Linked DNA regions of Danio rerio. The protein of the gene in region 4 interacts with the protein of the main gene of each other region in a pairwise test. Links are inferred from orthologs where the notes say so. Each region holds a gene or a part of one and is shown on either strand. Other genes may lie near its edges. The genes, in order: dtx2, sf1, rbfox1 and fam168a.

Evidence for each region.
Region 1: the proteins of fam168a (region 4) and dtx2 interact in binary tests that used the Homo sapiens proteins (3 or more experiments, as listed by UniProt). The two-hybrid records come from large-scale screens. The link is inferred for Danio rerio from reciprocal best matches to the Homo sapiens genes FAM168A and DTX2.
Region 2: the proteins of fam168a (region 4) and sf1 interact in binary tests that used the Homo sapiens proteins (3 or more experiments, as listed by UniProt). The two-hybrid records come from large-scale screens. The link is inferred for Danio rerio from reciprocal best matches to the Homo sapiens genes FAM168A and SF1.
Region 3: the proteins of fam168a (region 4) and rbfox1 interact in binary tests that used the Homo sapiens proteins (3 or more experiments, as listed by UniProt). The link is inferred for Danio rerio from reciprocal best matches to the Homo sapiens genes FAM168A and RBFOX1.

Annotation. Positions count from the first base shown.
Region 1 is NC_133180.1:65,405,666-65,414,272, forward strand, and holds the start of dtx2 (probable E3 ubiquitin-protein ligase DTX2), read left to right. Parts: upstream 1-4,257; 5' UTR 4,258-4,770; coding exon 4,771-5,092; intron 5,093-8,607. Other genes in the region: gtf2ird1 (general transcription factor II-I repeat domain-containing protein 1), read left to right, coding at 1-48. UniProt on the Homo sapiens protein: Regulator of Notch signaling, a signaling pathway involved in cell-cell communications that regulates a broad spectrum of cell-fate determinations.
Region 2 is NC_133182.1:22,785,475-22,794,095, reverse strand, and holds the start of sf1 (splicing factor 1), read right to left. Parts: upstream 4,265-8,621; 5' UTR 4,129-4,264; coding exon 3,882-4,128; intron 3,003-3,881; coding exon 2,874-3,002; intron 1,060-2,873; coding exon 984-1,059; intron 1-983. Other genes in the region: rbm4.1 (RNA-binding protein 4.1), read right to left, coding at 8,114-8,621. UniProt on the Homo sapiens protein: Necessary for the ATP-dependent first step of spliceosome assembly. Binds to the intron branch point sequence (BPS) 5'-UACUAAC-3' of the pre-mRNA. May act as transcription repressor.
Region 3 is NC_133178.1:26,725,656-26,733,034, reverse strand, and holds the end of rbfox1 (RNA binding protein fox-1 homolog 1), read left to right. Parts: intron 1-3,324; coding exon of another isoform or gene 3,325-3,419; intron 3,420-3,838; coding exon 3,839-3,961; 3' UTR 3,962-3,963; downstream 3,964-7,379. UniProt on the Homo sapiens protein: RNA-binding protein that regulates alternative splicing events by binding to 5'-UGCAUGU-3' elements. Regulates alternative splicing of tissue-specific exons and of differentially spliced exons during erythropoiesis.
Region 4 is NC_133193.1:4,903,119-4,910,973, reverse strand, and holds part of fam168a (protein FAM168A), read left to right. Parts: intron 1-2,669; coding exon 2,670-2,812; intron 2,813-5,826; coding exon 5,827-6,001; intron 6,002-7,855.

The DNA.
Region 1 (8,607 bases), on a different chromosome or scaffold from region 4:
GACTATAGCGGCGTGAATGTTCAAGTTCCTGGCAAAGTCAAATACTAATAAACTTTACTGAAGACTTCTACCATTAAGGGACCTTTTTAAAAAAAAACCTGACATTTCTGAATGCTAGAATGAGCTTTCTCCAGAGCTGGGACGGACCTGCAGCTCATGCAAGGAGTCTCCTGTGTGTTTTCTGGCAGAGATTAAAGCGTGTGAACTGTGGGATGCAGTTGTTTCTGAATGAAGTGCTAATGATGGAGAAAGACAACAATAAATCAATCTGCCAGTGCTTTATAACGTAGAGGAACAGTGCTCACCCTCATCCCAGTCCGAACCAGGATGTTATCATTTTTTATCTGTACACTACCTGACAAAAGTCTTATCGTCGATCTCAGTTGTAAGAGCAACAAATAATAACTTGACTTTTAGTTGATCATTTGGAAAAGTGACAGAAGGTAGATATTTTTGATAAATCATCTGTTGAACTGCATACCAATCATCACAAATACTGCAGAAGACCTATTGAAACCCATATGGACCCAAGGATCTCATAGAAATCAGTCAAGTTTGGTGAAAGAAAAATCATGATTTGGGGTTACATTGAGTATGGAGGTGTGCGAAAGATCTGCATGAGTGAATGGCAACATCAACAGCCCAAGGTATCAGGACATTTGTGCTGCCCATTACATTACAAACCACAAAATTGCACTTCTTCTCATACTTCAGCCTCCACATCAAAGTGAAAGCTAAGAAGGTCAAGGTGCTCCAGGATTGGCCAGCCCAGTTACCAGACATACACATATTGACCATGTCTGGGGTAAGATGAAGGAGGAGGCATTGAAGATGAATCTAAAGAATCTTGATGAACCATGGAGTCCTGCAAGAACGCTTTCTTTGCCATTCCAGATGAATTTATTAATGTTATTTAAATCATTGCAGAGATTTATAGATGCAGTCGTCCAACCTCATGGGAGTCATACACAATATTAATTATGTTTCCACTGCACCATGTCTTTATATTCTATACTTCACATTATTTCTGTTAAGTGACAAGACTTTTGTCTAAGCAAAGTAAGACCTTACTGTCCTAATTTAATAATTAAAATCAATAATGATCAAGGCATGATCATATTATTATTAGTATTATTTTTTGTAAAATAAGCGTAATCTAAAAGCTTTCATATAAGCCACATCTGATACCAAATGATTAACTAGAAGTCAAGTTACTATTTGTTCTTAAAACTTGGATATGTGTGAAGACTTTTGTCAGGTAGTGTAAAATGCAAAACTTAGTTTTGCCTAAAAAGCTGTCAAAAGTGTTTCAAAAGTATTAAACAATGGTCACATACAGGTATGGAACATCAGATGAGGGTGAGTAAATAAGAGGTTGTTTGTAAAAGGTGTAGCCATTATTTGCGTATCAGATGAAATATTGCTTTGCCACCAGGATTTGTAATGTCAGATCCTGGACACAATCATGGTTAAATAACCATCTCATTAAACAGCAGTAAGAATAGCATTTGGGATTTGTTTTTAATCCAACATATGTCTAATCACTGTTGGGATACACAGCCTTTGTTTGGTGCCGAGAGAGCTCGTACAGTACGTTCATACTGTATACGACTAGTTATCATGCCTTGCGAATGTTTGTATTGTTATTTATTTATTTATTGAAATTTTTAATATGTGTATATGCAGGGAATGTAAACTCTGGCATTCAGTTAATTACATAAAGTAGCTTACTGAATGACACGGCTAACGATGCTAAAAACAACGAGCTACTTGTGTAACGTTTTTCGGAGAGGAACTTCTGCTTCAGGTTTTAAGCAAGTTGTAAAACCCCTAACACGATAGCACTAACTTATATTCAATCGAAAGACTTTTTTTTTTTATTATTATTTTAGCATTGTAAGTTACTCTTAAGTTCGTTCAATTGAGGCAAAGTGAGGTATTTTAAGGAGAAAACATCATGAATGTATTGTTTGTAAAGGAAAAGAATACTATAATGTGATTCTGTTATGACTGTCTCTGGAATCGCCAGTATTTATATGCTGTACCTTAATGCCATTTAGGCCTTTCAAATAAAATGTGTTGCCTTGCGTTTAACTGGTGTGTGTGTGTGTGTGTTTGTGTGTGTGCGTGCGTGCGTGTGTGTGTGTGTGTTTTTATTATTATGCAAGAAAGAACATTACAAAGATATAATATGAACAAAGAGACAAAGAGGGTTGCATAAATAGAATTCCAGCAAATTAAACAAGTTTAAATGATTTACACCAAGAAAGCGTTTTACATGCAGTGTAATTGTTAGAGTATTTTAAAGAGTTCACATACAAAGTCCTTTCTGAAAATTAAAAGTAAGGGTGTTTCTTTGAAAATTTACATTTATGGATGTAAAATTTTGCTTAAAAAAGCAATAAATTATTAATAAATTTACAATGAGAAGGATCTACACTCAGAGAGTAACCAAAGAATACAATTTTTGGGGAAATACAGAAGTTTGGAAATAAGAATTTTTTAATGAAATCGGAAAAGTCAACCCAAAACACTTTACGGTAAGTACACTCCCAAAATAAATGGTTTAGCGTTTATCATATTGACTACAAAATAAGCCTTTAGGGGAAATATTATTATTAAATTTAGCAAGTTTGATGTTTATTTAGTAGCACTTATGAATTACTTTGATTTAGACTTCAACAGCTTTATTAGATAAAAAAAAATTTTAATCTGTTTTTAAACTGAAGAAACTGTTCCCAATCCACATCATCAAATATATTATTCCAAAAACCTATGCAAGCAGGTAAAGAGATCCGAGAACTAGTAATAACGAAGCGAATATCTTTGCTAGACATAGAACTGAGAAGAGTTTTGTCAACAAAAAGATTTGTGTTGTCAAAAATAAAAGAATCTAAAGAACCTTTAGGGCCAGATTTGACCAAAGGTATAATACAATCAGGGATTGTACCAAAAACTATGGCATATTATTTAGGGGGAACAGGAAAATAGAACTGATGCATAAAGTTTTCGTATGAAAAAGGTACACCACAGTCATCTAAGAGCTATACTAAACTAAAAGTATATTTTTATTAAAGTGAGTGTGTGTGTGTGTGTGTGTGTGTGCGCTGGTTTTTGGTGGTTTATGAGGACAAAATTTTGTATGACCTAGGCATTACAATGTTGTGGTGGTTAATGAGGACATTACACGTGTCCTTGTAAATCAAAACGGTTAAAGTCATACTTAACAGGGTCTTTTGACATTACAAAGTTTGTCATGTTTCATTTGAAGTTGGGTTTAGGGGTAGGGTGTATAATAATCGTTTTTTTTACAGTATATAATACATTACGACCATGTAATGTCCTCATAAACGTGTGCGTGTGTGTGTAATTATGCACTGAAGCTTTACGCGTATACTGAGAATTATTTTAAAGTTATTTAGAAACAACTTCAGATTGAGTTTAGATGAATGGAGATTATTTTCCTGACACATCAGGATAGCATTAGCACCACCTACTGGATTGAAGACAGGATCACACATTTTCATCTTTACAGTTTTCATTTACAGTGGTAGGTTACAATTAACACGTTGTAAACCACAGGCTATTGTAATGAAAATTGTTATGGTTTCCAGTGTAATGCAAAAAAACGTATTACAATAAGATTTATTAGTTTTAACATACCACAAAAACAAAGCATACAGGCAACAAGAGACTCACAGGAAACATTTGCAGTTTCCATTACAACCAATACAATTACCATTGACACAATTACAAATTCTATTAAAGTTTCAGGATTCAGATCTTACATGACAAAAGTTTTATTACACATTAATTACATTTAATTACACATTAATTAATTCTGACTAATATTTTGGTACAATTGAGAACTCGTGTATTACAGATATTTAAGTGGGATTCTTGTGTTTAACCACAAATACCATATTTAAAATGTATTTATAGAAACATTATTTCTCTATTATAGATCAGTGGTTGTAACACAATAAATCACTTATGAACGTCATCTACAAAGAAAAACGCAGCGTGACTTTTATTTTGTTATTAGTCAGTGTATTACGCTTTTAAAATAAAAGCCATCTGCCGTTGACAACGTACGCAATATAAAGATAAGCATTCAAATTTTGAAGTTAACCATAGCAAAGCATAAACAAAGAATAGACAGTAGTCATTTAAAAAAATCGACATTGCTTTTATATTTGAACAATTTAAAATGTAAACATACCGACAACAAGACGGGTGCTGTTTGTGTCTGCCTTCACAGTGTGTATCTATGGGAATCCACCAGCAGCGACACAAACACACACCGCAGCAGAGGAAGTGTGTCACAAACCACTGCGTACTTTTAAAAACCATGCCGAGCGGCGAGTTTTAAATCACGACCATGCAGCATTAGCCGCCTGCCGACCTAACAGAAACTGTTATTTTACATGAATCCGATTAATGAGCCCGGTAGCCGAGCAGCATCGCACTGAATGGCGAAGAGAAGAGCGAGACGCGGCTAGTCTGAAGCTGCGACTCCAGCAGCCGAGCAAAGAAGATGCGACATCAGTGGGATTACCTTCAAATCTGCGGATAAATAAATGTTCACTCCTGAATTAAACACAGTTTTAACGACATCGAGCGATCTCTTATAGGATACTGCGGGTTAGCTGGGTGGAAAACGAGTGAAACTGAAAGGGTGGTGGTGTTGTTGTTAGCTGGGCCAGGCAGCCCCACTGCTTAACTCCGGCTTATTTTAGGATCGGTTGGGGTCATTTCTTAGCAGACACAATGGCAACAGGCTCCAGTTTCCCTTCCGGAGGGAGTGGAACTAGAAACGGACCGTCTTTCGCTTCGCCGTCGACTTCGTCTGTCACCTCGTCTGGGGTGCCCGGACAAGCTCAGCCGATGGCGGTGGTTTGGGAATGGCAGGATGATCTGGGCTTCTGGAGGCCCTACACCGGACAGGTGAGCAGCTACATCGAGCAGTGCCTCCAGCACCAGAGAGGGGCAGCGGTCGCCGGGAGCAGCATCTGTCTGGCTCAGGCAGACCCCAGCCTGTCCTCCTACATCATCGACATCCCCAACCTCAAACAGTTCAGACAGGACACTGGTGAGTCTGTACTCAACACATCAAACTGATGAATAACAGCAAAAAAGTACTATGAAACTTGTAGCTGTACATGGGCCTGTATAAGATTCGGATGGTATGAAAACCTTGCACACAAATATCGCCGTATTGTGATTAATGTTAATGCTATAAAACAGTTTTATTTTAAATGTCTAACAAACTATTCCCATCAAACAGAATATATTTTACTTTAAGAAACGTTTAAAATATCTTGGAACAGTAAATGTGAGGCTAAATGAATATAATAAATTCTTCAGTGTGTTAATATGGACACCAATAATGCTCTGATAAAGCATTGTCTACCATGTAAACAGAGATTTATGATTAATTTAATTTGATTAAGGTCTTAATCTTACTAAACAGAAATCAAATTAAGACATTTAGTCGCATTATTGAAATGTAGTACAGATATATAAACATGTAGGACTTTCAGTGAAATTTGCGACAGGATAGTCTATATGGCTGTACAAACACTATTCTTTGCATCTCTCGAGTCAATGAAGGACCACAGACACCTGCATCACAAAATGCGGAGGTTTATTTTCCCTCATCATATTACATTAAAACAACACTCTTCTAGCAGTTCATACTCGCATGCAATTTCTTATTTGTCATGGGGCGCATGCATGAAATGTTCCAGAATGAAAGTGAAAGTACCAAACTGCAGTAAAAGTCGACAACTTAAAAATGAAACACCTGAAATTACACGAAACCCAGCAGGAAATGTGGATAGCTAAAACAAGGCTAAATTTGGCCTGTCAGTGAAAATCTAATAGACATTTAAGAATCGGCCAACATTCGACTAGTCATCAAATAAACAGAAATGAATGACTAATGATCTGTTTAATCTGCATATTTGATGACTAATCGAATATATAGATTAATCAAATAGTGTTTTATAATTTTAGTTTTCATTTTTGGGTGAACGATCCCTTTAATCAACATATTTTATAATATTTTAGGCAAATGAAAGCATCACTTCAGGTGATGAATTACAAAACAATTGTGTGAAAGTGAATATCCATGTTTTACGTATGGCAAGCATTTTCTTTTTGTTTAAAATGAGATCTAATAGATGTCTAATAGACATCTAAGGCTAGATAAAACATTGCCAAACGTGGTTTGTCAGTGAAAATCTAATAGACCTCTAAGAATGGCCCTAAACTAGTTATCAAAACCACAGGAATGAATGACTGCACACGTGTGGAGTCTGTCTAATCGGTGTATTTGAGCACTAGTCTAGTTTTGGGCTGTTCTTAGACGTCTATTAGATGTTCACTGACAGCCTATTTAGCCAAGATGGATCTATTAGACATCTATTATGCATCTATTAAACAGAATTGCTTTGCAAGGTGTTGCATAAAAAAATGACTTTTTAATAATGTAAACAAAGAAAAATAATTTAAACTTTGCAGTAGAGAGAGACCTCTTTCATACACTGTAAAAAATGCCGGGTTCCACATAATTCAGTCATGTTGTTCCAACACAAATCGATTAATTAATTTAACACTTTTAACAAATTAATGTGGATCGAACATAAAAAAAATTAAGTTGTCCGAATGAACTCTCAAGAATTATGTTGTTTCAGCTCATTTTAAATAAGTAGTTAAACGAGCAAAACAAAATATTTTTTGAATGTAACATTAAATTATATTAATATATACATTTTTACTTGTCTTGGACTGTTATACTACGATATGTGAAGTTATTACTGTCTAGTACTGCCACAGCACTTTAAGAGAGTGTTAGGGAAATGTGCTTTTTGCTCATTTGGATTAAGTAAATGTGTTGTCAAGGAAGAGTCTGTAAAATCCACAGAGTGAAAGAAGCCCTGTGTGAATCTTGGCTGAAACTGATTAATTCACTTGCTCTAAATGTATGGTATTTATGCTTTATCCTTGATAACAGGTCATCAAAGCTGCTGGGAAAAGCAGTGTAGTGTGCTGCAGTATGACACATAGGCTTTATATATACTCATATAGATGGATGCAAAGTTTTAAAAAAGATAGCATTTTGTCTGTTAGCTGGAGATTAGACTTGTTTTGGTGGGTGTTTAAATGACTTCTGACACCTGTGGTCTCTATGGAAAAGAACAGGAAAGAGGTGACAAATCTCAGGAAACAAGCTAACAGATTCCGACAGGATGCACAGCGTACTCCATTTGTGAAATAACAGCTCTTTCTCACATTTGTTTTTAGAAAAGATGCACTTTGTTATAAGTTGAAAAATGTGTAAATATCTTTTGGAATGATGAAGATCTTTTGCTAATTACTGTGATGATCTTGTTATCACATTTTCTTGTTGCGATTAATTGCTGAATGGGATTCACTGGTAAAATATCCGTAAATTAGCAGTTTTCCATATTTTATGATTATTTGTGCTTTTAAATTGCATTATGGGACTTTGATTTTTCTTCCACCAATCTTTTACCTTGAAAAGGTCAAATTTTTAAATTATTTTTTTCATTTATAAAAGTGTAAAGTGATACATTTTCTGGGTTGTTGTTGTATATTTTGGTACAAAAACCTTGTTTACTAACTACCAGTACATTTTCTGGTATTTCACAGACTTATTTCGCTATATATTATTTCTTAGATGTTATATTATAATGAAAGTCACTTTGTTTACCTGTAGAGTTGAATTGTCAACGTCAAATCGACAGAGCAGAGATCAACATCCCGAAGTCCAATTCAGAACGGTGATAAATGAAAAACACTTGTGAAACACAGAATACAGAAACTGTTCATTAACAGATGTTTTTTACTGTATAGAATAGGGCTACACAATACTGGAAAAACCTGACATCGCAATATTTTTGTTCTGCAATCTATATTGCGATATTAATACAGTTTCGGTAGATGACTTTAATAGCTCTATTTGGAATGAAATCATTAACCTTGATTGGAATGATCATGTAGAGGAGTGAATCAAAGAAATTGCAAGTGTTAACGCTTGTACACACGAGGACGCTTTTCGTTTGCGTTTATAGTCAGCGTTTTTCTGGATTCAAACCCAAGCGATTTTTCATTGGAGTCGAGCAGAAGAGTATGCAAAATCACTCCTTGACCCTAGATGGCACTACACAACTTTAAGCTTCTGACACGCGCTTGAAACACAGAAGAAGAAGACAAAGTTGACATGCTTGTTGTTATGGATAGTTCAAGTAGCAACTCCAGCTCCAGCGATGAAGAAATGATTTTTGTTCACCAGTGCAATAAGCAGCTCTACGTTCATATTGCCTCTGGGCATCTTCTTCAATGTGCGCTTGCATTGACAGTTTTGCTCTTGAGTGCCTCAAAGTGCTGTTTACTGTAACTTCGGCAGCTCTCTGCACGTGAACAAAAAGTTCCAAAATGATTGGTGGAGAAGGTTGTGACATGGCACGTCAAAACAAAAAAATTGAGCATGAGGCGTTTTGTTTTAAAAAATGACGATTTTAAACCTGGCATTTTGCGCCTTGGTGTATACGATCACATTGACGCCCTTTATTTAGTCAC
Region 2 (8,621 bases), on a different chromosome or scaffold from region 4:
GAACATTGACTGCACACTTACTAAACCTGTAAACATCAAAACTGGAACCAGGTCTTTTTTTCTTTTTTTTTTTAAAAGATGAGTGGCAAATCTAGATTCGTCAATTCATCATTTTCGAAAAGCTCTCGTTTAAAAAAAAAAAAAAAAAAAAAAAAAGTCCCTTACAAACATTTTTGTCGCATGTTAGCAAACCACTGTAATCCACACATGTGGGTCCACATGCGAGCTGTGCTCTCATCACAGGGAAATGGAAACAAAACCTGTTGCGGCACATTTATAAATGCAACACTTACAACTCACGTCTCATAACAATTCTTCTACTTGTTTGAATTATGATTGGCAACACAACATGGTATCTCTCTAAACATTGTAACAGGTAAAAGGGGGCTTCGAAGCTATATCATGCATATTAATGAAGTTGCATCTTGTTTATATTAGAGCACGCTGAATAAAAACTCAATTGTGTCACTTTGTACCAACTGGTACAGACAGCCAATCTCCACGCTGGAATTTACATAATGATCTCATCGCTGTGATGTTGCTACAAAATTTCTCCTTTCAACCCAGGAGAATGAATTTGCTCTAAACAATGCAAAAACAACCAATTTTCATTTTTTAGCTAAATTAATGTGTCCTAATAGCGTTTTTAGCAACGCGAGACACCTATATAACTATCAAGATCTCAAAAAATGTGTTTTGGCATTTCGTGACCCTTTAAAAATACAAAAAGTGTTTAAAACACTGAAAAGTTTAGGTTTGTAATACAATCTATTTAATTACAATAAAAGAACTTTCAAAACTCTTCAATTAAGAGGCAAAGATATGATGTCAGTTAAAAGCAAGGCATTTAAACTTATTTCTGTCACTTAATTACTTACCCCTACATAGACACTAGTACACTTACGAACTGGGCTCACTTAAATTGGCGCATTGAAAAGGTAAAGAAAATGTTACTGTTGGTGGGTTTAAATCGTTATTCCGACCTGTCCTCAGGGTTAACAGGGATTCCCAGGTCTCCTGTACGCAGTTTACGTGTCAGGTCTTCAATCTGCAGTTGGACTGGAAGAAATCAGGTTAGGAAAGAAAAAAAAACAAGGATGGAGAAAAATGTGGTTAACAACAAAAAGACCCCACAAAACCAGAATCAGTACACTGTAAAACTCAATGTGACTAGGGTTAAGCAACAAACAAAAAATTACCATGGTAAATTGACAGTTCACTAAGAATCAAGGTCAAGTAAAGACATTTGATCCTCTGTAGTATTTTTTCTGAAACACTGAAAGCCCGACAGGAATTCTGCAAAGCATACTTCGGTTTAAGCTTGAGTGTATTCTCATGAGCCCATTCCCCAAATAATCAGAAATTCAAGTTTCAAATGTTCAGCCAATTTTAATTTCAGAAACCTGAAGGGATTTCAGCAAATAACAATTTCAGAAAAAGATCATAGCAACAGGCTTTCCATTTTATGCCACCAACTCTGAGAAGTAAAATTCACATTATGCATATCCTTAAAAACATTAGTTCACATGAGCTAAAAAGGTGGCAAAAACATGAAGGCCTGTCGAGGGGGGAAAAAAAGTTGTGTTTGAAGAAATCAAAAAACATATTGGCTAAATGGCTTGAGCAAATGCATCCTCATATAAAAAGTTATAGAATAACACCAGCGTAATGAAATTAAATTACTATGTTAAAAAAATAGTCATTAACACTGGGTGTGAAAAGCCAATACATAAACAATTACATTCAACACTCAAGTTATTGACACGTCAGCAACTTACCAGTAGTTACAAACACTACTCAATTAAGTAAAATCCAATATTTATAAATAAGTTCTAAGACAAACAGATCAGCCTTTAGCAGGTCGTTTTATCATGCAATTTATTTTACTAAGGCCTCAAGCCACGCCAACCAAATCAGCCTGTACAAACCCAAAGACTGACCTGTAACCAACCAAATTACTGCATCACTCATGGAAGCATTTCATGGGCTTTCACATGCATTTCTCTATGACATGCTTAAGAGAATCGGACCCCACATTGAATGGTGCAGGTTGATGGTGGGTAAGAGACATGAGGTGTCAGTTGTCAAAAGGAGGAGTAGTTAAAGAGATGTAGGTCTAGGTCACATTATAGTCGAAACAAACACTACACCACATGCTACTGCAAAACAAGTGCCTGACAGCAATGAGAAAGCAATTTACTACACACTGCTTTCAGACACAAGGGGATGGAGATGACTTTAGCAATTCAGTATCGGACCTGCATTGCTTTCGCAGTCGAATTGGACGAGACATTTTTTGCATAGTAAACATGAGCAGTGATGGAGTTCTGCAGCTGGAGACAGTTCACAGCAAGCAGCAACATCAGAAAACACAGTGGGTTCTTGCTAATGGACATCAGATGGTATATGCAAACATTGACAGTGCTACCAATACCTCAGTGTGTCCTAAACGAACAAAAATAAATAAATGGCACTCACATTGCACATTGATGGAGTTAGTGCATTCTAGTAAATATGGGGCAAAGTGCTGAATTTCGATGGATTGACTTCTTTGAGAAGACCATTTCTATAAAGTCATTTGAGACATATAGAGATGACCGTTTTGAACTGTTGCTTTAACATAAAGGTTCTTTCACTAATTTGACATCAGTTGTATCAGCAAAGAAGTCAGACTAATGAAATTAAGCAGTTACATCCTTCATGTGATGTGCAAACTGTGAGAAAAAAAATTATAAACAAGTTTTGGGACAAAAAAAAAAAAAGTGACTTGTTTGGGTGTAGACAGAATATTCCCCCGTTCACATACAAAATTATTTGCAACCTAAACTCTATGACTCTGACAGATGTTGTAATAGCAAATTTTAGATATTCACCTATATAAGCTCGTTCTTGGTCCCGAGTCAGCCCAGGAGGGATCACGGTGGGCATGCCCGGGATAACAGTCTTCTGATCAGGGGTCTCGCTGCTCCAGCGACTTCTTTTCCGTTTCTTCTGTCCAAAATCTGACAGGGGATGTAAACAAATTAAGCCATTATGTCTGATTTGTGGATGTCTAAAGCCTGTAAATTAAGACCAAAACTTCACAGAAACGTTCACCATGTCTTTATGATGCAAAATGTTTAATTTATTGAATTATTACACTTTTAAAAAGTAAACATAGGATTTTTTCTTTGATTAAAAAGAAATTATAAATATGAAGAGTTCAGATGCAAAAACCTCTTAAGTGCCGTCTGAAATTTCCATCAATTTTTCACCTTTGCCTCTCTTGTTTATGTTGAAATATTTTACTTTAAAGACCTGGAAAAGGACTTATTCTTTGCCATAAAAGTGATATTACGAAACATACTAATAATTTAAGAAATATTTAAGACAGCATTCTAAGGTTTTTAGCAGTTTAAGCAAGCAGTTTGCTGCTAAATGCCACGTTATATTAACTTAACATCGTTAGCCATATAAACACTGCAATGTAATAAACATCTTTGTTCAGTCTGGGCATGTACATTTGCTGTGTAAAAGCTCCCAACCCTTTTTATACCATATTATGCACTAAACTGAAAAAAAAAAATCTATATTAAAAAAAACAGTGTGCACTTTATTGTCTAATGTTAACACTGCTCGATTTCAAAACAATAGATTTTTCTGCATCATATTTCATTTCAGAGTTCAGTGTTAAATACAACACAATACTTTAACGTGTAACGTTAGATTAAGTTTTGATCCCCCAAATGAACATGTTAAATAATTACACATTCCAAAGATTTTTAATATGCAATGGCATTGTAAAAACAAGTAAGACTATTAATGACGGTAACCAGCCATTCTACTTTTATAAATGGAGGCCGTTGATCCTGAAGGAGTCAAGGCCTGTCCACGGTGTTTACCTCCGCCTCCCGCTTGAGACTGCTGTCCTACTACGATAGGGTTTGAGAGCGCAGAGCTCACGGCTCCGGGAAACTGCGGGAACCCAGGATTTGATAATTGTGGCGGTTGGAAGTTCTGCAGCGGGAAAGGCACCGAAGGCCCAGGCGGAGGCATTAACCCCGGACCGGGGCCAGAGTCAAAGCCTCGCTTAGCGCCGATGCTCGGGTGCAGCTTACCAAGCGGGGTTGCGTTAGCTCCCGTTGCCATTTCTGGGCGTCAGGGGCTTCTTCGTGGTTCGATATCTGCACAGAATGTATCCGTTTCTTTTGTTGATAAATCAATTGATACGAACGCGTGTCTCCGACCACGCAACCTTCTTCTGTCACCCGCTGGATAAGATGGCGTCCGCTGAGATCGACAAAGGAGCTTTGACGTCAATTTAGAAATATCCGATTGGTCGATAGTCGTGTCAATCTGTGTTTGGGGAACATTCATTGGATCATTTAAGGTCTGTCGTGTTTCCGTCGGAGCAATTTACTTACCTCTCATTGGTCGCCAAGCCGGCCATATGTTCCAGGATAGGTTGGCTCTTTCTGTGCGGTGTGGTCAGGTTGTAGCTAGATCAGATACGGTTATGGCTGGCAGACAACGAAAATTACATTTCCCATATTTTATTAGGGCGACAGTGTTTTTTTCACAGTGGTTAGCACTGTCGCCTCACAGCAAGAATGTCACTGGTTCAAGCCCCAGCTTTGGCAGTTGGCCTTTCTGTGTGGAGAAAATGAGTATAAATGAGTGTATGGATGTTTCCCAGTATTGGGTTGCAGCTGGAAGGGCATCCGCTGTGTAAAACATAGGAGCAATTCCATGCAAATGTCAACCTTGCCATAAATAAAAAAGATTTCGACAAAATAGCAAAACTGTTTCTGGGTTTTTGTGCTTTAAAATACTCAAAAATGTCTCCATTAATGTTTTCAAACTATTATATTTGACTTACCAAAATCACATGAGTGGCAATTCCACATCTGTCACATCAATAACGAAGATTTTGCCTAGTAAATGGAAAAATGTCAAATTAAATTAAATCAATCATTTTTGTTTTATAATGAGCCAACTCTTATCCTTTTGATGAGCATTGTTTCTGAGATTTTACTGCAAATGTCACATCCATAACGCTGGAATTGCTAATTTGCTGAATAAGTTGGTGGTTCTGTCCACTGTGGCGACCCCCGATAAATAAAGGGATTAAATGAACCCTTTAGCTCATGAAAATAAATGAACCCTACCCTAACCCTAAATCCAACCGTCACAGTACTGTAAACATGTTAATTATTGGTATACAGTGTCACAAAAAATGATGATATACATATACACAGCTGTATCTTATCTACTCTTACTGTGCAGGTCAGGTTTTGGTAGATACAGTATGTCTATATGAGTGATAAAATTACATTTAAAACTTAGATTTTATTTGTATTATAGTTTATTTTTTTCCCATTTACACTACTGAGTTACATTATATCCTGACCTTGCTAATTATTCTACATTTGTATAATTCGAACCCTTAGAATTAATAACGGGCAAAGGAGTGGCACAGTAGGTAGTGCTGTCGCCTCACAGCAAGAAGGTCTCTGGGTCGCTGGTTCGAACCTCGGCTCAGTTGGCGTTTCAGTGTGGAGTTTGCATGTTCTCCCTGCCTTTGCGTGGGTTTCCTCCAGGTGCGCCGGTTTCCCCCACAGTCCAAAGACATGCGGTACAGGTGAATTGGGTAGGCTAAATTGTCCATAGTGTAAGAGTGTGTGTGTGAATATGTGTGTGGATGTTTCCCAGAGATGGGTTGCAGCTGGAAGGGCATCCGCTGCGTAAAAAACTAGCTGGATAAGTTGGCGGTTCATTCCGCTGTGGCGACCCCACATTAATAAAGGGACTAAGCCGACAAGAAAATGAATGAATGAGAATTAATAACAAAACAAAAAAGTGCAGTTTTAAAATGCTGTTTAGCAGTTTTCAAAAAGCTATATCTCATTACTTTTGATGTCCTCTACAGACACATGAGTCTCCGACATTATGCATTTGCACAAATCACCCAATTTAGCAATATCAGAACAATGTAATAACTTAATTTTTAAATTAACTATTAACTCAAACTATAAAGTTTATTAAATGATAGAATTTATGGTTATCATATTTTTAATGGATTCAATGAGTCGTCAGGTAGCCTATCTAGAATTATAGCACACATCAGCACAAACACTGTAGCACTTACTAGTTTTCGTTTCAAAATGATCATTATTGTTAATATAGATGTGTTTTCGTATTATCATTATTAATATTAGGTGTGTGTGGGTGCAAAACCTTTACCTGTTCAAGTATTTTTCTTTATGGTATGGGCAGGTGGGTGTAATGAATTTGATTTTAGTAATTGTTTTTAAAAAAATTATCTGTGCTTTTACAAATTTAAAGTGATAGTTCACCCAAAAATTATATACATAACTCAACATTTACACAACCTTGTGTGGTTTTAATTCTTTTAATGATTTTCTTAAAGTAGGATAAACAAATAGTATGGAAGTCAATGGTTCTTTAAAATATTATGCTTTGTGTAAAAAAAAAAAGGAAGAAACTGAAATTAGTTTAAGTTAAACAAGTAAAGACCGAGTTAATGATGACAAATGTTCATTTTTCTCTTTAAATCAGTCTTGGCATGCTGAAGTCTATCTATTATCCCATCATGGCAGAATTTCTAAGGGAAATCAAGAATATCAATGAAGAAACAAGAAAAGAAAGGCTAATTAAAATAAAACACAATTTCGATAATTATTCTCCATACTGAACCATAATGATTTATAGTTTTATACAAGTTAAAGCTTCCAGGTTTAAAAGAGTACCCCAACAATGACTGAAGGTACAAAAATTGGAGGGTCCCTTAAATGGCATAATGTATTGTCGGCCCAAAGTTTTTTGGTGACTGAAAATCTCTTAAATCCTCACATCTCTAATATCATCATACTTTTCGATTCCCATTGTTGCACATTTCTGCTGTTTGATTAGCTCTTAGATCATACGGAGTAAATAAGTCCAGAGCTTATCATTGTTATTGACATAAATTACCATGATTCAATATAATATTGTTTATCAGCCTGAGTGAGATTCTCTGATAGGAGCTCTCCAAGATTTACTAAATAAAGGGAAACTGCAAAATTAAATTTTTCCGTTTTCCACCATGTGTCTTTGACCCAATTTATGTGTCCAGAGCAACTGCAAAAACCCAATTGTGTTAATCTAGAGCAGGGGTGGCCAACCCTGTTCCTGGAGAGCCGCATTCCTGCAGATTTCATTTGCTACCCATATCAAACACACCTGAACCAATTAATTAGGACCTGAACACCACGTGATAATTACAGGCAGGTGTGTTTAATAAGGGTTGCAACTGAAATCTGCAGGAAGGCGGCTCTCCAGGAACAGGGTTGGCCACCCCTGATCTAGAGAGAAAAAAAAGACAAGATTTTTTTAAACTTTTTTTTTTTTAATTAATGAAGAAAATATTTACAGGTTTTTGTACCAAGAATAAAAAAAAATAAAAAATAAAACAAAAACACAGGACTACATCAAGTTTATGACAATAAAAGTAGATTAGTGCTGAGATGTGGGCCATCTCTACTGCCTGTGACCCAGTCGAGACAGGAAGCATCACAACTTCTAAAATGTTCCGTGTGCAACCAAGAGCCACCTGCACAGAGAAGAGATTATCACAAAACTGTCAATCATTCCGGCTTTAGTTTAGTGGACTTCCACGTGCCAATACTGTAATACCTGAAATGTAAATAAGACACTTGATAGGTAAAGTAATACATTCATTACATCTAAAAATAATAATGTGTCAAATATTTATGACCATATTTGGCCTCTAGTTTAAATACATGAGGTTATAATTAATTGTAATATGGACATTGCAAAATGTAAGATTCAGGTAATTTGACATGAATAAAAATTGCTTCCCAATGATAGACAGCATTTAAAAAAACCTACTTCATCCAAAAAAAAAAATTCCATCATCATTTATTAACCCTCATGCCATTTCAAATCAGTATGTCTTGACATTATGTATGTATATGTATATATATATTTTTTTTATATAGTATCCGAGGGTGAATAAATGATGATAGTAATTCCCCCGAAAACAGCTTTCAGTTTGTGCCCTAACCTTTTATGATCCTAAAAAGATCTCACCTGAGTGCGCACAGGAATTAGGCTAGTAAGCATAGCGCGCCCGTTCAGCGTATGGGTCCCGCGGCACGTCATACGCAGCAGTCCTGGGAAGCACAGAGATGGGAGAGAGGCGCGACCGCTCATACGCGTATCCCTCCGCCTCGTGTGGAGCTCGTCGGACCGGGCTCCGTTCACGGACATAGTATGAAGAGGTGGGAGCCGGAGGAGGGGGAAGGGGATGGCGCTCATATGGGTCGACAAGGTTAGAGGGCAGGCGCTCTCTCACAACTGGCGTAGAAGTGGGGGGAGGAGGGACAGGAGGTTGAACCGCGCGTCTATCTTCGAAATAACTGCCTCCGTACGGACGTGCCCGATATTTCTCGTAGAAGTCCACTACCCCATACGGATCTCTTTCCTCATAAGGTGGTCGTCGTATCGGGTACGCAGGCAACGCACCGGGGTAGGCCATGCCACTAGTCCCATACGCAGCCTCGCTTCCGTACACTGGAGCCATGCTATTATCCGCGCCAACACCGTAGCCCGCTGGCATA
Region 3 (7,379 bases), on a different chromosome or scaffold from region 4:
CTTCAGTTTCCCCCAAAGTCCAAAAACATGCGCTATACGTAAGTGAATTGGGTAAACAAAACTGGACATAGTGTGTGTGAATGCGAGAGTTTATGGGTGTTTTACAGTACTGTGATGTGGCTGGAAGGGCAAAAAACGTATCCTGGAATAGCTGGTGGTTCATTTCCCTTGGGGCAACTCCTGATAAATAAGTGACAATGCCAGGGGTCTCAAACTGCCGGCCCGCGGGTCCTTTGCAGCCCCCTTCCTCCTCCCTCCGCCCCGCAACTGACAGAAATATAAAGAGTTTCGGCCTAACAAAACTTATATTTTTGAATCACTATCTGTGCAGTTGCATATACACTTGTGGTTTTGACCAACCACCTACTGGACATTTAAGGTACTGTACTATATATTTGGGTTACATTCGGTTTCTGTCGGTGTGCGGTTGAGAGTAAATCACATGCAGATTATTTCTGGGGCTGATTTAAATGTTGTAATATATGTCTGTAAGTGCTCTATTTTTACTAAAGCTATATTTTTGTAAATATTCAAGGGCCATTTGATTATAATCCATTTTATAGCACCTGTATTTTGTTGTACAAACACTTCTTCATGGCTTACACGCTATGCTGGTGGTGTGAATATGATAATTTTGCTAATAATCGATTCAAATGGTCTCATTTAATAGATTGTCTTGATTCGCATATTAAGATTTGAATTAAAAAAAAGTGCATTAATAAATTTTACTGCTGGCGAAATTGAACATGTTAAAGTAAATGTGAATAAATACATACTTTTCCCATCTTTGTTGTGGTTTTACAAAAAATAATGATATTGAGAAGAGCAGTTGCTAGTACAGTCAATAAAGTTACCCAAACTGCATTTAGCTGTTTCACACTACATGTTAAACTTTTGCTCAAGCAAAAATTGATTTTGACATAATAATAATTATTATTATGCCTATTATTAAATTGTATGTTTTCCATATCAATTTAAACTACCCCTTCAATATGTACAACAAGAAACAAAAAGAAGGAGCTTTGACACTCTGTGGAAGAATTTCTGAGTGCATCAGTTACATCAGGTTTCCACTTTTTTTCTGTGCTAGAATGTTAAAACGGCCCTCCTGTGAATTGTCAGTCACTGACATGGCCCCCCGCCCCCGCCGATTTGAGTTTGAGACCCCTGGACTAAGCCAAAGAAAAATGAATGCATGAATGTGTATGCTAAATGATTTCGCAACTTTATTGCACCCATATTTTAACATATTTTACAAGTTATTAGAAACATTAAAGTAGACCCTTTACTTGAGTTTAATTAGCTTTTTCTGTGTTTGTAAAATCACTTCTGTAAATTTAATTTAATATGAAATTGACTCCTATACTCAGTTAGCAAATGAAAATAAATAAATAACATACTCAAGCTCTTGAAGGCTGCGCTTAAACTGCAGATCTTTATGGTCAATTCCGATTTTGTGGCTGTATCCATTTTTTTTGATGAGCCGCTTACATCATCATTTAAAAGTTACTCGAATCTGATTGTCTGCATTTACACTGCACGCAATGACAAGATGCAATGACCAGAAAAAAAAGAAGGGACACTGACTGACGGCTGATAATAAAAGAGCACCCTTTTCTCCATTCATGTGTTTAATCTGTAATCTGTTAGTTGTTTTACTATAGTTCTCATTGTTATCCATCTTCTTTTAATCTAGGCCTTTTTAAACCACTAGGCATCTTAATGTAATGTCCATGGCGTGATTTATGCATGTGATGCAATAGTTTTAAGGTGCGTTCAATTTCTTGCATCTCTGCGCAGACCGATCAAAATCTGTCTTAAAGTGGTGCATGAGATCAGACAATTAATTCAGTCGGTGCAACGTTAGAAGAGCAACTGCAGGAGCTGTGATGACGACACTGATATTACACTATTGGCTGAGTTCAGCGCATAACAACAACCATGTGTGTATCGGGTTTATTATTAGACAACTTCTTTTCACTTTTTATGCCATCTCTATCTTGTATATGTATCATGCTTATTAAATGACAACTAATATTTGACTAGAGTAATAATCTTTTGTTAAATAATTAGTTTATAAAGGCTGGATTGTTTGCATAGGTTTATTTTCTGTCTTTTTTATACAGACTATAGCTCCATGACTCCAGACTTTATAGAGCATTCAGCTCCATGAAGAATTTAAATTATAAATTGCAGTGAATAACCTAAATATTAACTTAAATAAGTTTTACATACTTTTAATAAAATAATTATTATAATTAATCTCAAAACCCTAAGGCTTTCTTAACAAATTAAGGTAAAGAACTATTTTATTTAATAATTATAAGAATATTTATCCTATATGGTTATAAAATATTTTATTTGCTGTCAAGCCGTTTACGCACAAATTTTAAAGGTGACATTGAGGTACCTTGCTTTTTCTGTTTAAAGAGTTGCTCACTTATTTTGAGCTCACTTATTTTATTTTTTTAAATGCTTTCATTATCCAAAATTATTTTAATCATTGTTTAAGACGTAATCAAAACACCTTGTTTTGAGTTTTACACAAATATATAATGGAAAGTTTTATATCTACATTTACATTTAGTCATTTAGCAGACGCTTTTATCCAAAGCGACTTACAAATGAGGACAAGGAAGCAAAGGTAAATAAATGTAAACCCATTTTTAGCATATTCAAACAAAAAGTATTAGCCTAAAGAGTGATGTTTAAAGTTCTAGAATTTGTGCTTATTGTTTTGTATTTAATAGGCCTATTCATTTTTATGTTTATATTTCTCTCTCCTTTCCCCTTATTTCTCTCATGCATTTGTTATATAATTAATTCATAGTTCCCTTATTGTTTAAAAATTAACTAGTCGGTAGAGACTGTATTCTGTTTTATGTATACTGTAAATCTTTTGTTGTTATACAATACAATATGTATTTATAAAGCACATTTAAAAACAACCAAGGTTGACCAAAGTGCTGTACATAGGAGTACTAAAGACAGAGAAGAAAACAGAATATAAAAGAAACATTTAGCAATTAAAAGCAATAATCAATGATCTGTGCTATTTAACAATATAAATGCTTATTTTTTGTTCTAGTATATGAAAAGTAAGGTTTGGGACTCTACTGAAGTCTGTTCCGAGCATCACAGCTGACATCATTCGATATGGTTTTTAATGACGCACGATTTGCGACTCGAATTGATAGGTGAAAATCCGATCTACTTGTTTACACTACAGACACGAGGGCACGGATCTGATCAGATAAATTTCCACATATGAACAAGGCCTGAATCTGATTTGAGTAAATCAGACTCCATTCGATTTTTTTCCAGCTTACACATACATGGGCCATATCCGATCTGTGCCACACGGGAGAAAAATTCGGAATTGGGTCACTTGAATCATGCAGTGTAAATGCAGCCGAAAGGTACAGTTTCAACAGCAAAATTTATCAAGATTTCACTAATGTGACCACAACGTCATTTTTTCTCATATTTATCTTTTGTTATTTAAATGTTATATAATTATCTTGTTTTAAGGATATTTACTGGAAAATCTGACCATTATTCGGATCTCCCTGCATCCATGACTTTTTCTTTTTTTATTATTATTATTTGCTCTGTTAACTCATGTACATTTCTTTCAGCCCTTTTGCGTTTTTTTTTTTTAAGTAGCTAAATGCATCTGTTCTGGCATGAGCTGTGTCGGTGTGCTTGCTGCATGATGGAACGTGATTGGTTTTCGTCCGCGGGGTACAGTATGTACAGCAAACAGTCTGAATGCTAGCATAGGTCTCATCTGAGCTGTGTCAATTAAACATGTCCAAACCCGTGGCTTCTCTTGCAGAATGCTTTCGCACCCTTGACTGATGCCAAGACCAGAAGCCACGCCGATGATGTGGGTCTCGTTCTTTCTTCTTTGCAGGCTAGTATATACCGAGGTGGATACAGTCGTTTCGCGCCATATTAAAAGCAAACAAAAAATGCATTACAAAAAATCATAATAAAAACAGACAAAAAAAAATAAACATTTCAAAACCTATTGAGAATCTTCCTGTGGGGGTAAAGGAGGAGTAATTCAGAGGCCTGGGTATTGCAATACATGCAGTAGTGCATCATTTTAGCATCTCTCAAGAGAGAGAAGACAAAAACGGATATTTTTCATCTTATACCTCAGATATTTTGTGCTGTGTATTTTAATATTGTGGGTTTTTAATTTCTAAAGATTACATAGATTGTTGGCTGTAGAGGTTTCTGTGGTGATCTAGAGAGCTGCTAGATTTTAAAAAGACGAAGAAGAAAAAAAAAAGAATAATAAGATACAAATTGTTAGGGCTTTATCATGTAAATGAGTTCTGTATGATAAATATACGAGTCACTTTGGGGTTATCATATTTTGTAAGAGTGTAAGTGACTAGAGTCGTCCAGTGGTTTCTGCTTTCGTTGACATTGCCTTTACGTCTTTGTTTTGTTCTTTTGGTTTCAGTTGTTTTTGGGTTCTGTGGCGTAGAGGACGAGCACGCAGGGGATGGTGGGTACGAGTAGATACGGGCGTCTGCGTGGTAAAAGGTCAGTGTAGTTGCAGGAGCACAGCAGAGACACAGAGCCGGTCAAAGAGACCACGGAGGTATCGATTATTTAAGCTGTCTTATATCAGTCATTACTCAAAGCCAAAGGTTATGTTCCTGGGGTGTTCCGTGTGTAGATTCCAACTATACATAGCAGCTCGTAGAAACTCCCCGAAAAGTTCACCACAACAGTATTTTACTGTTTAACTATTATCTAGTCCCTAAGTCCAACCCCTCGCTAGTTTAGGCCTACCACGAGATGTTCTTTTTATATATTACGGTACTTCCAGTACGTCGATTGATATAAATGCTGACTTTTATAATACGGGAGAGACAAAACACGACGAAAAAAAAAAAAACGAAAAAAGAAAAAAAGACGCCGACCATAGCGCCGGTTCTATTTTAATTTAGTTTCTTTTACCTTTTGTTTTGTTTAGTTTTTTTTTTTTTCTCAAGAGTTTATTTGTACAAGCTGAGAGTGGGAAAAAATAAACTAACAGTGTATTAAATTTGATCTGTGCAGTGAAAATGTTCTCTTATACGACAAACACAACTGTATAATGTTTTAGATTTAGTGTGGTAGACCAACTGTTAGAGAAAGGTGTCTCATTTTTTATGGAATCATACACAGATTTATATCAACACTTTACAAGTAATGCAATCATTATGTAGATATAATCATAGTATTTTTGTCAACTGTACAATTTTGCACACACGACCTGCAATTTTTTCATCACAACTTCTTCTCCTCCTTCTCCTCCTCCTCCTCACTTGTCTGTTTTCTTTCGTTTTCTCTGCTTCCTTCGGGTGTTTCGTTTTGATATCATTTTTAATGTGACATCCTTTGTACTATTATTTTCTAGAACACAGCCTTTACACTTTGAAACTGTTTGATTATCAAGAAACTGAGAACTATATGACTTGTGAAAAAGATATCTATATGTAAATAGGAATAATGATAACTATGTCATTTACAAGTGCTACACAAGCAAGCTGTCGAGGTGTTCTTGAAGAGTCGCAGCTTGGCTGTGCATATGCGAAGACTTCCCTTCATGTTGTTTACAAGTATACCTAATTAGAGGTGTTTGTCACATATCTCATTTTTCTTTATTTTGTATTTATAAAACGTTTCGATTGCATAAAAATACAAACAAAAGAGCAGCTCCAATTTATCCGGCTGCAAAATATCCTCTTGTGTACTGTGTGCGTCACATCACACAACTTGGCAAAAATATCTTACCCACTGCTGTGATTCTGCTCTTTCTGCTTTAAGTACGTGTTGTGGACAGGCTTTCTCCTTGTCATTGTATGTGCATGCACTATGATCTGCATAACAATAACCATCAATAAAGTTTCTCAAGATAACGGGAACGGCTCTCGGAACTTTCTTGTATTCAGATGACGGAGAGCGTTTGTCCTCTGATCTGATTTCATTGCCTGAAATTGCATTGCGATGCTCAAGGCGAAGGGGAAATGATCATCTCCGAGGAGGTTAAGTGGAATTGATGCTGCCAGGTCTGAGGTGGTCATCTGTGTGCCTTTAAGAAGACTCTGTGTTTAGGATGAAGGAGAAAGATCCGATTCCGGCGGCGTGATTAGGTTATCCCACTCGCTATCTGGGATATGAAAGATCTCAGATCCTGCAAATATTTCCACATATAAAAGAAAAGAAATATGGGCTTATTTTCAGCCTGGGCTCATGAAAGATGTGGTGACATTTTTGCTAAAATTATATTAGGCTGCTTCCTGCACGTTTGCTTCACTTTCAAAGTGAAACGTCGCTAAAAGTCATTTAAAATTTTTACTACAGTATGCAAGCAAACGCAACTGTTGCAACATTTTTCTTACAGTTAAAGTCAAAATGATTTGCCCCCCTGAATTATTATCCCCCTGTTTATTTTTTACCCCGATTTCTGTTTAACGGAGAAAAGATTTTTTTCAACACATTTCTAATCATGATAGTTTTAATAATTTATCTCTAATAACTGATTTATTTTATCTTTGCCATGATGATAATGAATAATATTTGACTAGTTATTTTTCAAGACACTAGTATTCAGTGTAAAGTGACATTTGATGGCTTAATAGGTTAATTATGCAGGTCGGGGTAATTAGGCAAGTTATTGTAAAACGATGGTTTGTTCTGTAGACTATCGAAAAAATATAGCTTAAAGGGGCTAATAATTTTGACCTAAAAATGTTTTTTAAAAATTTAAAACAGCTTTTATTCTAGCCAAAATAAAACAAATAAGACTTTCTCCAGAAGAAAAAACATCAGACATACTGTGAAAATTTCCTTGCTCTTTTAAACATCACTTATATTTTTAATATTTAAAAAAGAAAAAAAAAAGGGGGGCTAATAATTCTAACTTAAAATCTATATTAGTTTGTGCTTAGATTGTGGCTTTTTGAAAATTTTATTATTATTGTATTTATAAAATTAAATGTATTAAATGAGAGAAAAAAAATATATGATTTTGGATTGTCACGATCCAAAGATTAATAGCAAACTTTAACCCTAATCTGCATCATCACTGAAGTCGCACGCAATTTTAAGCTCTTCACATGAAAGCAAACTTAAGAATTCATTGAATTATTTTTTGTGCACACACAGATAGCCATGTGTCCTTTTTTTTTCCTTTTGAAAGTGAAATGTCGCTAAAATGCAACTGTTTACTATGCAACTTTTATTACGTTGGTTTGTGCGCAGACCATGGTCTTTTAGGAATTGAATTATCATATTTATAAATCAAAAGTATTAAATGAGTTGAAAATAATGTCAGAAAGATGGTACACATTGAGATTCACAGATTGATAGTA
Region 4 (7,855 bases):
GTACCAGAGTAATGTGTTTCAGAAAACAGAGGTCAGACGGACGGTCAGGAGAGCTGAGGTTTGATCTCAGTGTAGATTCAGAACTTGAGGAGCTGAGATTGCATACAGTGAAAGCAGCGTTGTGCGACTGAATTAGACAGGCATAGAAATGTCTGGGGCTCGAGAGAGATATGAATCTGGTGTGTTGCATCAGCTGTTTGACAAATGTGTAGTAATGATGTGCTTTTGGTTTTGTAGGCTATTTTTGCATTAAGCCATTATTGGGAGTTGTGAGTATTTAGTTAATGAATTGTAGTATTGTTTGTTTACCGCGAGACACTACAGGCAAAATCACTGTATTTGTATGCATCTCGAGATATTAGCATCTATAAAACACTTTTAAATTGGATCTTTTGTGTCGCACTAGATCAGGGGTCAGTTCTTCGTACCTCGCTTAAATGATCTAAGATGATTTGGCAGATCCTTGATCTTTTAATCTTTCTGGCTAATTTGGTTCTTCATTGGTTCGCAAATCAGATTAAAATGTCCGGATGAACTGATCTGAGATCTCTGAGCGTGTTGTGAAGGACAGATCTATCGATTCTCGAAATCATGATCAGCAATTCAATGATTGGCTGACGGCACAGCAGCGTAATGACATCATCTGATTAATATTCAATTATCCATATGAGCAAAATTAAAATTAGCAGTAAACGTTTTGCTAAATATGACACGCAACAACTTTCCACATTTGTTGTGAGCTGCAGGCTTTACACTTTCATGTGTCAAGAGTATTCATCATGTATTTCAATGCATATCAATGTATTTAGTTCTACATTTAGAGACGATTTTCTTTACCATAGTAGCATATAGGCCTACTCAAGTTTTTTAATCAGCGAAAGGAATAACTGTATATATTTATTTTGCATCAAAAAAGCATTTTGATATTGATAAAGGTGGGCATGACTGCATTATTATCTTTTTTTTTTTTAAGTCGACTATTGTGCATGAACACGTTTGCATCTAAAAAGTCCATATCAATGAATTTTAACTTTGAACCACCAGGTGGCAGTCTTTGTACTTATATTTCGGAGTGCATATTGCATACGTTTTATTAAAATATATATATTTACTATTTTCCCAAGTGTACATAACTACTGTAAGAAAATATCAGCATTTGGTACCTACTTTTAGTATTATATTTGCTTGAACTGACCCGATCTAATCCTGTTTATATGAAATGAACCTGCTCCCAAGTAGGTTTGAGCTACCAGAACTCAGATGAGTCTCAGATGAGTTTTGAAGAACTAAACCATCCTGGATCGTGTCAAATCGTCATTATCCAAATCCAGCTAATTGAGAAATCCACGTACGAAGAACAGACCCCTGTTTGTACCTGATGATTATTTATACCAGGGGTGGCCAACCCTGTTCCTGGAGAGCCACCTTCCTGCAGATTTCAGTTGCTACCCATATCAAACACACCTGAACCAATTAATTAGGATCTGAACATTACGAGAGAATTACTGGCAGGTGTGTTTGATATGGGTTGCAAATAAATTCAGCAGGATGATGGCTCTCCAGGAACAGGGTTGGGCACCCCTGATTTATACAGATAATAATTCAATATTATTTAAGTCTTTTTCTGAAAATGTGTCATCAATCTGCACTTCGGTAACTTTTTCATACACAGAACTGTACAGGTTTATGTATTATCTATATTCTAAAGGCTTTTAGCCGAGGTATTTGTTCACACATAACACACATTCCTTAATGAAACTATTTATTTTGGCTGTTCACTGTGTATTTTGGCTGCTCAGTGTTTTCTGAATTATGATTATCAATATCAATGCAGCTCTATCTGTCAAATACTTGCAAAAACATGACTTGTGGCAGAAATACTTCCAAATGAGTGCATATTTTTAAACAATGTCTCATGTGCATATTTATACATGCATAACATTTTAGAAAACTTGTAATACAACAAATGCAAGCGGTCAACTCTGGAAGTATGGTTATTTATATAGTTTTTTCGTCTTACTCTATTCTCCTACAGTGTCTTGCATTAAAAGACTTGGCTTTGTGCAGCTCAAGTCAAACTTTGTGTGCTTTTGTTTCTACTTTTTGTATCTTCCAGTGAGTCTCAGACTAATAGACCATTTTGAGGGATGTAAACAAAAACCATGGTCCTAATGTATATCCTGTTTTACACTTGTAATTTCTATAGCTTCCAAAACTCCAAAGAGTCACATATTGATAATGTTATGAGAGCAGTTTTAACATGAAGTTGTAATTGTATTGTCTCTTTTTACAGTTATGAAATAGTTTGATAACAAGCAGGACATGTACATGGGCCAATGACATGATCACATCGAAAATGGTCTATAAATACCTAATAGATGGTGTGTGTGTGTGTGTGTGTGTGTGTGTGTGTGTGTGTGTGTGTGTGTGTGTGTGTGTGTGTGTGTGTGTGTGTGTGTGTGTGTGTGAGAGAGAGAGAGAGAGAGATACTTCACATACTTCACATTTTTGCATGCATTACCGTTGCGCACCAGAAGATGGCGTCATTACCTTTGTTTATTCCAGCCAGGTCATATGGTTATTTTTTGCTCATCCTATGTGTTATACTCGATGGAGATGTCTCAGATGTTTGCGCAGCCTGATGATCCGTCTCTCTGTCTGTGTTTCAGGATATACTGCAGGAACGCCTTATAAAGTGCCCCCTACTCAGAGCAATGGAGCCCCTCCACCGTACTCCCCGTCCCCAAACCCCTACCCCACGGCCATGTACCCCATCAGAAGTGCCTATCCACAGCAGAACCTCTATGCTCAGGTCAGAACTGCACTAACACACTTGCGCCCAGTTTCACAGACATGAATAAGAGCAAGGGTGTCAAACTCAATTCCTGGAGGGCCGAAGCCCTGCACAGTTTAGTTCCAACCCTGCTCCAACACACTTACCTGTACGTTTCAAACAAGCCTGAAGGACTCAGTTAGTTTGATCAGGTGTGTTTATTTAGGGTTGGAACTAAACTGTGCAGAGCTGCGGCCCTTTTGGAACTGGGTTTGACACCTGTGGCTTAGACTCAGATTACATTAAAACTAGTTGCTGTCAAAAGAATAGTCATGATTAATCGCATCCATTCATTCATTTTCCTTCGGTTTAGTCCCTTTATTAATTAGGGGCCGCCACAGCGGAATGAACCACCAACTTATCCAGCATACAGTATGTTTTACGCAGCGGATGCCCTTCTAGCCAAAACCCAGTACTGAGAAATATCCATACATTCACACATGCACTCACACACTTATAGCGCACGTGTTTGGACTTTTGGGGAAACCGGAGCACTCAAAGGAAACCCACACCAACATGGGGAGAACATGCAAACTCCATACAGTATTGCCAACTGGCCCAGCCGAGACTCAAACCAGTGACCTTCTTGCAGAGAGGCGACAGTGCTAACCACTGAGCCACGCCCCTAATCACATCCATTAAAATATTAAATATATTTTGTGCGTACTGTGTAAAATTTTGTGTATATAAATATATGCATCACTAAGTTGTATAAAATGTTTGTTTATTCATATATATATATATATATATATATATATATATATATATATATATATATATATATATATATATATATATATATATATATATATATATATATATATATATATATACACGTCTTAGTGCTGGGCTAAGATTAATAGCATTAAAAATAAAAGTTTGTTTTGATCATCCAACCAGGATTAGGTTATAGTTTAATTAGGGACTATAAGTAAAGTATCATTTACTTATGTGCCTTAGAAAAATCATTACTGGTGTCCATTGTAAGACTAAAATCAGACTTACATTTTTGTTTCGTCTGTGAAATTATTATAAGAGACAATTCCATCAAATCTAATAAGAATAAAAGGTCTCAAAGAAGAATATAGGAATCTAACACTGCACTAATAAGAATATAAGGTCATTTTGTTGTAGTATGGATTTCTTTAGCTATTTTAACCCATAGCTAACAGTCATTTTTTACAATTTTCAGCACAGTATATTCAGAATCTATATGCACTTTTTATTATTTTATATAGATAGATAGATAGATAGATAGATAGATAGATAGATAGATAGATAGATAGATAGATAGATAGATAGATAGATAGATAGATAGATAGATGTGTGTGTGTGTGTGTGTGTGTGTGTGTGTGTGTGTGTGTGTGTGTGTGTGTGTGTGTGTGTGTGTGTGTGTGTGTGTGTGTGTGTGTTTGTGTGTGTGTATGTATATATATATATATATATATATATATATATATATATATATATATATATATATATATATATATATATATGTATGTATGTATGTATATATAATCGCCACAATCGAGAGAATGTGGAAAACGGTATTGAATGTTACTTCATTTTCACCTTGGTATTTGTCTATTTATTGCCTTTTTATGATAAAAAGAGAATTATTTGAAACTTAATTATATATTATATATATAAATTTTATATTTTAAATCTGTTTTGTTCAAATGCACCAAAATAAATTGCCTATATTCTCTGAGAAATGAATACAAATATTCAATTTCAAAATAGGGTGTACTCAATTATGCTGAGCACTGTATATGCACATTTAAAATTTTAGTTTCTTGAGATATTATTTAAATATATACCATTGTAGGACATTATAATTAATTATTAACCTCACTAGAATTCATAATTACTCAGTTCAGATTTATAAAGCCTACCTATTGTACATATTTATGTTTATTTCTTACAAAACAGTATGATTATGTGGCAATATATGTTTATTAAAACACCTTTAACCCTGAGATCATTTTACAAAAGTATTTTTAATACATACTTATGTTCAAAATGACACATTTATATAATTTAAAAATCTCTCTTTGGGTATTTTGAGGGTTTTAAAGCATCTGATGAACATGTTTTTCTTTACTTAAACTATGTATTTCTGTAGAACCTTTTTATGTATCTTTAACAGATCAAAACAGCCCAGAATGCATCAGAGGCTTAAAATATTGCTAACAGTTGTGTTTATGCATTTGGCAGACACATTTACACTTGGTTAGCATTCCTCAAAAAATATTTATATAATGATATCAAATAATGACTGAGTTACCAGCAGAATCGGCTGATTTATTTGCTCAGAATATTCTGTTTTGCTCAAATGCTTCATGTCAAATAATAGACTGGAAATGTTGTTTGAGTATCAAAATGTATTATGATGCTACTATAGTGCAATTTTAATTTTACTTTACACCTTTGTAGCACTTATAATTATTTTAAGTTAGCTTTTATATGTACAGTTTAGCATTTATTTTAATAATAGTTTTAGTAATTAAAAAATATTCATTTGTTGTTAGATTTAATTTCTATGGCTTTTATTTATTTATTTTTATTTACTTAAATTGTTTTACTTATTAGCAATTAGGAACTGAAGTAAAATCAAGTCAAATTAATTAAATTAAATAAATAAAATTGCACAAGCTTGAGTACTAAAACATGCTTAAATAAATTGGTTAAATAGTAAAAGCTGTATGTAAAAATACAATAAAATGTAAATATTAGATAGATTCAACCGGCAAATAATAAAATAAAATAAAAAAATAACATTAAGCAAAGTTTTTCATTCAATTATTTTAAATGTATTTTAATTATATAGTGTAACATTTAGCGTAATGGTAGTAACACAGATTCAGTACCATAGCAAACACTGCAGTAATATGTACTGTGTTGGAACATACAGCACTGCACTTGTCATATATCTGTTGATTGTCAGCTGTGTGTGTGTGCTGTAATGTTTGTGTGTGCGTTTTTCTCCTTAGGGTGCTTATTTCACACAGCCGGTGTATGCAGCTCAGCCTCACGTCATCCACCACACCACCGTGGTGCAGCCCAACAGCATCCCCTCCGCTATCTACCCTGCTCCGGTGCCCGCGCCACGTTCCAATGGGGTGGCCATGGGCATGGTGGCCGGAACAACCATGGCCATGTCTGCCGGTAAACCACAAATAAATCATTACATAAATCCACACTTTCTGTCTGATCTTCCTATTTCATGTGTATTAAAATCACAACAGCTGGAAAAATATAAAGTAAATATATATAATTATTTTATACAAATAAATATATATATACAGTTGATGTCAGAATTATTAGCCCCCCTGAATTGTTAGCCCACCTGTTTATTTTTCCCCAATTTCTGTTTAATGGAGAGAAAATGTTTTCAACACATTTCTAAACATAATAGTTTTAATAACTCATCTCTAATAACTGATTTATTTTATCTTTGCCATGATGACAGTAAATAATATTTTACTAGATATTTTCAAGACACTTCTATACAGCTTAAAGTGGCATTTAAACACTTAACTAGGTTAATTATGGTAACTAGGCAGGTTAGGGTAATTAGGCAAGTTATTGTATGGCGATGGTTTGTTCTGTAGACTATTGAAAAAAAATAGCTTAAAAGGGGCGAATAATTCTGTCCTTAAAATGGTGTTTAATAAATTCAAACTGCTTTTATTCTAGCCGAAATAAAACAAATAAAACAAATAAGACTTTCTCCTGAAGACAAAAATATTATCAGACATACTGTAAAAGTTGTCTTGCACTAGTCAATATAATTTGAGAAATATAAAAAAAATAAAAAAATAAATGGGGGGTTAATAATGCTGACTTCAACTATATATATATAATGTATATATATATATATATATATATATATATATATATATATATATATATATATATAGGATGTTTAGAGTGTAAATATTTAAAAATATGAAAAAAGAAATATATTAATTTTTTATTTTTATTTTAGTTCATTAGAGAATCATTGGAATATTAAGTAAAGATCATGTTCCGTGAAGATGTTTTGTGAATTCCCTACTTTAAATATATCACAATGTAATATTTGATAAGTACGCATTGGTAAGAACATAATTTGTTCAACTTTAATGTTTTTTTTGATAATATTTAGTTTTTTTTTTTACATTTATGACTTGTTTTGTGTTTCAAGGCCACACACACACACATACATTACACATGCAGTTGAAGTAAGAATTATTAGTCCCCCTTTTAATGTTTTTCTCTTTTTAATTATTTCCCAAATTATGAGAAAGGGAATTTTCACAGTTTGTCTGATAATATTTTTTTTCTTTTGGAGAAACTCTTATTTGTTTTATTTTGAATAGAATAAAAGTAATTTTAATTTTTTTAAACCCATTTTAAGGACAAAATTATTAGCCCCTTCCGGCTAATTTTTTTTTTCAATAATCTACAGAACACATCATCGTTATACAATAACTTGCCTAATTACCCTAGTCTGTCTAGTTAACCTAATTAACCTAATCGAGCCTTTAAATGTCACTTTAAGCTGTATAGAAGTGTCTTGAAAGTTATCTAGTCAAATATTATTTACTGTCATCATGGCAAAGATAAAATAAATCAGTTATTAGAGATGAGTTATTAAAACTATTACGTTTAGAAATGTGTTGAAAACATCTTCTCTCTGTTCAACACAAATTGGGAAAAAAATAACATAATTCTGACTTCAACTGTGTATATATATATATATATATATATATATATATATATATATATATATATATATATATATATATATATATATATATATATATATATATATATGAGAAATAAAAAATTTCCTTGCTCTGTTAAACATAATTTGGGAATTATTTAAAAAAGAAAAAAATGCAAAGGGGGGCTAATAATTCTGACTTCAACTGTGTGTGTGTATATATATATATATATATTCCGCTGTGTGTAGTCCCCAGATTAATAAAGGGACTAAGCCGACAAGAAAATAAATGAATATATATATATATATAT